Linked DNA regions of Macaca mulatta. The protein of the gene in region 1 interacts with the protein of each later gene in a pairwise test. Links are inferred from orthologs where the notes say so. Each region holds a gene or a part of one and is shown on either strand. Other genes may lie near its edges.

Region 1 (3,641 bases):
TTCATTCTCACCCGTCTTGTGGTCTCAGAACATCTGTGAGGTGAAGCTGCAAAGCCACACAAGGTGGAACGGCCATCAGTACCTCAATTTTACCTGGTATTTTTCTCCAAATGTTGCATCTCACATTCTGTTTACAAATGCGTGCTTGGTGGAGCTGAGTAAGCTATCAAAGGAGTGTAGGTGGCCTCAGCTTGGCAAACGAAGGCCATGGAAGATGGAGTGCAAGCACCTCACAGTCACGCTTTTTTGCTTTTTATTTTTTGAACATTTCAGTATCATCCCGTAATTCCTTTGGTCTTTACATAAAGCTTGTGAAGTAAGAAAGATACTAATTTTATGGGTGAGTAAACTGAGACTCAGAGAAATTAAAAAGTGACTTGCTGAAGAATTCATAGCTGGTTAATGACAAAGCAGGAGCTAGAATTCCAGACTCCCTTCTATCTTGTATTCTTTTCATTAAACCATGAATCATAAAGCATCTTCCTATAACCCACCCCACCGCACAACAGAATGAACACAAAACACGCTTGGTTGCAACGCATCCGTATGCATCAGTAGCCTGTGTGTGTAAGACGTCTCCTCTGCCTGCAACATATGTCCTCAGTCCTCCCTCACTCCGGATTCCATGCTTCCCACCCACATCAGCTAACTCGATGCCTCTCAGCATAGCATGATTTTCTCAGAGACTCCCTCCCTAAACGCCACCCTGGCCCCCGACTCCTCAGATGAGTTGAGGTCCCTCCATTCCACACTCTGCCTTTCTCCTCCACAGCACACTGCTTAGTAACGACTGACGGGTTTGACACTGGAGTGTACTTCCAGCTAGACTGCAGTTAAGTGTCTGCATCTTGTCCAGCATCGGATCCCCAGTGCCTGAGAGGGCCAAGTTCATGTCGAGGAATGGATGCTTCTGGCGTGAAGGTTTTTGTGTGTATTTAACGAACATGTGCACAAAAGGCATGCATCCCAGAAGGATGTGTTGCTTTCATTTCCGCAAATGAATAAAGCACACACTGGAAAGATGACAGAGGAAGAGCAATTCAGATGAACTTCTGTTAGGTCTTGATGAGAAAAACAAACCAAAATGAAAATAAAATGGGGAGAGAACAGGGAAGAGAGTTCCTAAAATAAAAGCAAGAATGAGACCTCAATCTAAGAATAAAGAAAAAAACAGGAGTTCGTGACCAGTCTGGCCAACAAGGTGAGACACCATCTCTACTAAAAAACACACACACACACACACACAAAAATTAGGTGGGTGTGGTGGTGGCGCCTGCCTGTAATCCCAGCTACTCAGGAGCCTGAGTAGCTACTCAAGAGCCTGAGGCAGGAGAATCGCTTGAACCCGGAAGGCAAAGGTTGCAGTGAGTTGAGATCATGCCACTGTACTACAGCGCAGGTGACAGAGTGAAACTGTCTCAAAAAAAAAAAAAAAAAAAAAAAAAAAAAAAAAAAACAAGCATAAATGGAGAGGAAATTAAGAGAAATAAAATCTAAAATAACAGTAAAGAACAAAAGGGGCTGGGTGCAGTGGAGGCGGAGGCAGATCGATCACCTGAGGTCAGGAGTTCCGAGATCAGCCTGGCCCACATGTTGAAACCCCGTGTTTTCTAAAAATACAAAAAAGTCGGCCAGGCATGGTGACGTTTGCCTGTAATCCCATCTACTTGGAAGGCTGAGGCAAAAGAAATCGCTTGAACTGGAGAGGCAGAAGCTGCAATGAGCCAAGATCGTGCCACCGTACTCCAGCCTGGGTGACAGTGTGAGATTCTGTCTCAAAAAAAAAAAAAAAAAAAAAAAATGGAAACGAGAGAAAGGCTGAATGGAAATTGGTAAGAATACTCAGCACTTAGAAAAGGTGCAGGCAAGGGGGACATTCTTGCCCAGGCCAGCCAGGTACAGGTAGAGGCACTGGGATGTTTCTCCATGGCCAAGAGGCAAGGGTAGAGGCCCCAAGGGCAACACAGCAGAAGCTGGGTAAGCAGGGTCAATGAGAGGATGAGAGCAAACAGAACCTGCAATGAGTTCCACAGCTGGCATTGCCCAGGGCGAGTGAGCCGTGGGAGGGTGCCACTCAACAGGCTGATGCAAAGCCTAACAGCACAGAGACGCTGGAAGCTACAGCATAATCAGAGTTGCGTGTGTGTGAGAGTCAGAGGGCACAGCAGAAAACCAAGCTCCACCCTGACGGGCACAGGTCGGGGGGCAACTGGGCAGAGAGTTGGCTTCCTACAGATAGGCAGTTCCCTTTCTTTCTTTAACCCTAACAGAGCCATGACTGGAACAGATCGAGTAGTTAAGTTTATTTATTTTTATTTTTTTAATTTTTTGAGATGGAGTCTTGCTCTGTCACCCAGGCTGGAGTGCAGTGGTGTGATCTTGGCTCTCTACAACCTCCACCTCCCAGGTTCAAGCAATTCTCCTGCCTCAGCCTCCCGAGTAGCTGGGATTACAGGGGTGCACCACCATGCCCAGCTAAGCTGTGTATTTTTAGTAGAGATGGAGTTTCACCATGTTGCCCAGGCTGGTCTTGAACTCCTGACCTAAGGTAATCCACCAGCCTTGGCCTCCCACAGGTGATCCACTAGCCTTGGCCTCCCACAGTGCTGGGATTACAGGCGTGAGCCTCCTTGCCTGGCCAGAGTAGATACATTTGATAAATGATCTGTCCCATATCCACGGGGGCAGACTTTTCTCCTTTACTTTTCTTCTCACATCCCGTCTCTCTCTCCTCCCTGCTCCCTCCCTTCCTCTCCCCCTCTTCCTTCCATCTTTCTCTCCCTCTCAAGTTTGCAGTTGTTTTCTTGGTTTATTCATGGAGAGAAGCTGAACAAGACAGCTTTGGGATAGTGGCTCCCCTTCCCTCTAACATCAGGTCATCGACATAAGAATATATTTAGAATGGTCTAGAAGAAGGCAGGGTTAAGCGATTTGATCACAGGAGCTCAACAGCGTTGATGTTTTTGAAAGAAGGATGGGCGCCCAGACCCAATGGATAAAGCTCGGCATGTAAGGCAGGACAGGCACAGCTCCCACGCCATTCCAGTATCACAGGTATCCTTGTTTTTGGAAAGAGAACTGACAGACATGGACCATGGAGGCAAACCGGCCAGGATGTGCAAGGGCCAAGGGGGAATCTGAAATACCTTTTTGCACTGAACGCACTGCATGGCATGTTGTTTCTCATAGCAGGGCACACAGAAATTCTGATTGTCTTTGGGGATGAAACTCTTGGTTCCAATTGGCTGCTGGCAGCGGTGGCAGATGAAGCAGGTCTCATGCCAGCTGCTGCCCTTGTACTCCATCTTGCGGGTACCTGTCATCAGGGTCAAGAGGAACACAGCAGAGTTATGCTTAGAGGGGCGTGGAGTCCCAGCAATTGCCTTCAGAGCTTGCCACCCTCTAGTTTTATGACCAGAGCAAGTCACTTCAGCTCTTGAAGGCTCACCTCTAAATGGAGGTAATTCCTATTTTGTGCAGGGCATGGACTTTGTCTTTTGGTTCACTACTGTACACCCAGCTCCTAGAACAACACGTGTACATTTTAGGTACTTAACATTTATTTATTGAAAACCGTGGTTAAGAATGTTAAATCTAAAAAAAGTTAAGTCTGCCTCAGCAATGCAAAGTATAAAGGGAAG
Region 2 (4,232 bases), on another chromosome or scaffold:
AAGGATAATGCAATGTTTCTGTCAAAATTACTATGCAACTGTAACTTTGGCACTAAAAGCATATTAAAACTATTAATCCTTTAATCATAATTATTCATATTGTTGTGGTAGAAACATCACACACACACACATACCAGTTACTTCTGTGGAATTTGAAATTGCTCTATCTAGCATTTTCGGAAGGTTCAAGCTACCACCTTGCAATTTATCCAGTAGCCTGCTGCTTGAACAAGCTAGATTAATATCTAATAATTTTGACCATGTACTGTGTGTTAAGTCCAGTTTAAGTGTTTTCCAAAGACTGTTTCACATACTTTAAAGCCCTACAGATAGAGACCATTATTATCCCCATCTTATAAATCAGACTGAAAAGGTTAAATAGCTAATATTTTCATCTAAGTCTGTCTGACTCCAAAGCCAACACCCCAAATCACTGTTAAACAAGCTTCTCTTCCAAGTTAGGGCTCAGAAAAATTTACTTGACTTTCACAACTTGCCTTTCTAGGTTAAGCTTAAGCTGACATAAAACTCCAAATTAAAGCAAAACACAATAAATCACTTAATTCTAAATTTGATTTTTTTTCCTGCTAGACAGAAGTTTTCAACAATTAAAAAAAAAACTAATCTGATATTGGCTAACCACTTCCTCGAGTGTTCTGACCATGAAGCCCTTTGCTCTCACACTTTAATAAACCACCGATATTCTCTAACAAGTGACAACACAAATCCACAAATCTAATTGTTAGAGAGCTTTCAAGTAAGATTGGAGCTTTCTGGACAGGAAATTTTTATAATACTATTTTTTTCAGGCTCTTGTGAAACACAGATTCACATTTTCATATATTTCTACACAAATCTCAGTGCTGTGTGCCCTGTTGGGTGTTCGATATCTAGTAAATTACGTGAGTTAAATACAGCAAAAATAGGACTGCATTATTTATAAGGTCTAACGACGCAGTAGACTTTTAAGCATTTTTTGGATTTAAACCAGGGCTTTACGGCGCTGGTTAACTATTAGAGAAGGCAAAGGGACTGAACATTTTATCTGAAAGTCCTTTTATCACTTAAGACTCTGTAAAATGTTTGATTACTTTAAAAATTGTGTGTGTGAATCATGTTAGTTTACTAGAAAAGGGGCTTGCTAGTACATATAATTGGGTTAAAAAAAAAAACAAAAACAAAACAAAACAGCTCCTTACTTGAATGTGATTGTTTTGGCAATAGTAAAATTCAATCCCGTCGTTCTAGCGCTGCCTGCCTTCCTGGTTCTCCTAGGTGAGGGCCGCCATCCTGCGATAATTTACTTTGAGAGCTGAGAAGCGCTGGCAAGGGTGCAGTCTGGTGACTAGCACTTTTAAAAACAAAGCCAAACTCCGCTTTTAAAATAGAGAAGGCACAGACGCAGACCCTGCCTCTGACGACATCCAAAAGATTCATTATAGACAGCCTATTCAGGCGAAGCTACAACCGCCCCAGGAAATATAAACTGTGTCGGCAAAGACAGCAGGGGGGGAGAGGAAGTAACTGATGGGAAGGAAGCTAATCATGTGAAGTTTGTCCAACTCCACATGGTCTAATAAATTCCCGTTTGTTTCCGCTGGGAGCAGCCATTAAACGCGCCCTGACACGTGGGCGCAGGAACCTCCCTTCTACCTCTGGCGTTCAGAGATTTCCTTCTCTACCCACTTGTTTGTATACAACCACGCCCGGCAGGATGACCACCAGATGACCGGCCGCGGCAGTGCCTCCACTCAGCCCCAGCTGGGCAAAGTTTCACTCCACCGCGGCGACGTGAACAAGAATCACGGCTTCCTTACCGTGAGTTATGAATGATTTAAGCCAAGTTTACAGTACACACAAAGCGAGGGACGAGTGAGTGACGGCAGGCGCTGACAGGGTTTTAAAGTTAGCTTTTATTGATACGCCCTAATTACAATGAAAAACAGAAGTCACCCTGACCCACGGGATAACTGTCGGGGCAATAATTTTTTTAAGAAAAAATCACGCAAGACTGAGCCTCAACCTCCCCCTTATCACCTGCAAATATAGTCTGCAGAAGGGCAACCTAGGGACCCCACTCGGGGGTCCCTCGCAGGGTGCGTCATATGGGCTCTCCCCTCTGCGACCCGCTATTTCCCTGCTAGACCCCCAGCGCCCAGTGGATTCCAACGCTGCGCTCCCGCCGGCTGGTCCCGGGAGGTAGAAAGCAGGCAGAGGGGCGTGGCGTCTCTGTCGCCCCCAGATTCCAGCCCTCCTCCAACGCCTGGCACCACCACAAGCCAGGGCTGGGAACACTGGGGGCCTCCCAATCGGGCGCGGGGCGCACGGCCGCAGGCTGGCGAGGAGGCAAGCGAGCTCGCGGGGAGACCTTTCCTTCCACCCCTAGCCTAGCCCCAGCCCCAGCCGTGGGGGCACCGGCTCCCCGCGACCTCGGGTTGCCGCCCGTCGAGGGCGACCGCGCGGTTTCTGCCTCTGGGTCTGGGTGTCCCTTGCCCCCTTCCTCCGCCTCTCCCCGGTCTCCGGCGCCCAGCGCCCCGACCAGTCCCCGCCCTACAGGACACTCTTCCCTCCTTCCTTCCTTCCTCTGCTCCCTCCCTCCATCTCGCTTCCCAGCACCCGGGACTCGGAGGCGGCCCCCGAACTCGCTGGCCGACGCCCCGCGCCGCGCCCGGACCCCGCGGGGACCCGACTCACCACCCGCGCCCGCCGCTTGGTACTCACCCGCCTGCTGGTGCGCTGCCCCGCCGTCGCCGCCGGGACTCGGTCTCTAAGGGCTCCTGGAGACGGCTCCGACCTCTCCTCCTCCTCCTCCTGCTCCTCCAGGCGCCGGCTCCGCCTCGCTGGGGTGGGCGGGGCGGCGGCGGCCCCAGGCTCCTTCCTCCGCGCCGGGCCCTGCCTCCCGCCCAGACACCCTGGCTATGTTGCCCCGGGCCGCGGAGCCCGCGTTGTGGCCCGGCTGGAGGAGGGGAGAGGCCTGGCCTGGGAAAGCTCGGTGGACGTCTGGCCGTCTTTGGCCATCCCCCTTCCCCTTATTCTCATGGAGGACCTGAAGTTCTAGGAGTTGAGGGCTTCCACTCTACGACCCGCTCCTCCGCGGGGCCGCCCTGACGCCTCGCAAGTTTCCTTCGCGTGCGAACGCCTCGCCAGCCCCTGTGCCAGCCGTCCCCAGGGCTGTGAGGATGAGCGCTGCCAAACCCCTACACAAAAGTTTGGCTCTGCCCCAGACACTATGGAGGAAAACACTCACAGTAACATTTAAAGGGCCCTGGGGCCACGGAGAGACGTTTCACAGAAAGTGGAGGTATAACTGCGGATTATTGAATTTGTAGTACATCCACCCACCATTAGCTTCCCGTTCATCTACCCCAACCCCCTGAAATTTGTTTCCGAATGTCCAGTACCTGGCAGAGTTCTGCCCAATGAATTAATCGGATTTGGTTGGTCTTTTCTGGAATGGTTCAAGGTCGGGTAAATGGAGGAGCCATTTCTGCTTCCACAGATTTCGTACTATTCCTTGGGCCATTCGACAAACATTACCGAGCACCCGCTGTGTACCAAGCGCGATGCTAAAGGTGATGGGAGAGGTACAAGGATGAATCAGACAGGGGGCTTGCCTTCTTGGAGTCCAGAAAGAGTAAAGAAGCTGAATGTTCAGAAAACCACTCAGCGGACTTCTGGAATATTCCTAGGTAACCGCTTTCTTGTTTGACAGGGTGGAGAGAAAAGAGGTGAGGCCAAAGTAGGTCACTTAGAACCAGTGTGGGCAGAGTCCGCACTTGAAATGGAGTCTGAAAGCATTGGTGAGGGATGTCTGTGTATTGAGTTTCACCAACTGAGGACAAGTGGGCCCTGGGGAATCTGGAAACTAGGGACTGCAGTCAGGGCATTATATTCCCTCTTGCTTTCCTTCTGACCCCTAAGCAAGTATCAGGCTTAGTGAAATGATTTGCACATGTAGAAGAGGTGTCACAGGTAGAGTCGGTGTATGAATGCATGCCTTGCCCCAGGGGTGTGATCTTAGCAAGCTGCAGATGAGGGTGGTTTTGGGGGTGCAAGTCACAGGCTACCAGAGAGGTCTTTATTTCCTGTTCTGTTCAGCATTAGGAAATGCTTGACTGATTCACAGGTACTAACAGTTCAAATGATACATCTGAAACAGAACAGCATGACACCACAGGGACTGAGAGGGTGGCATACTGGAGTTTGTATTTTTTGGCCACAGACCACAGAAT

What was found.
Region 2: the proteins of FHL2 (region 1) and GNG12 interact in binary tests that used the Homo sapiens proteins (3 or more experiments, as listed by UniProt). The link is inferred for Macaca mulatta from reciprocal best matches to the Homo sapiens genes FHL2 and GNG12.

Annotation. Positions count from the first base shown.
Region 1 is NC_133418.1:13,468,947-13,472,587, forward strand, and holds part of FHL2 (four and a half LIM domains protein 2), read right to left. Parts: intron 3,317-3,641; coding exon 3,147-3,316; intron 1-3,146. UniProt on the Homo sapiens protein: May function as a molecular transmitter linking various signaling pathways to transcriptional regulation. Negatively regulates the transcriptional repressor E4F1 and may function in cell growth.
Region 2 is NC_133406.1:172,775,926-172,780,157, reverse strand, and holds the start of GNG12 (guanine nucleotide-binding protein G(I)/G(S)/G(O) subunit gamma-12), read right to left. Parts: upstream 2,837-4,232; 5' UTR 2,722-2,836; intron 1,659-2,721; exon of another isoform or gene 1,200-1,658; intron 1-1,199. UniProt on the Homo sapiens protein: Guanine nucleotide-binding proteins (G proteins) are involved as a modulator or transducer in various transmembrane signaling systems.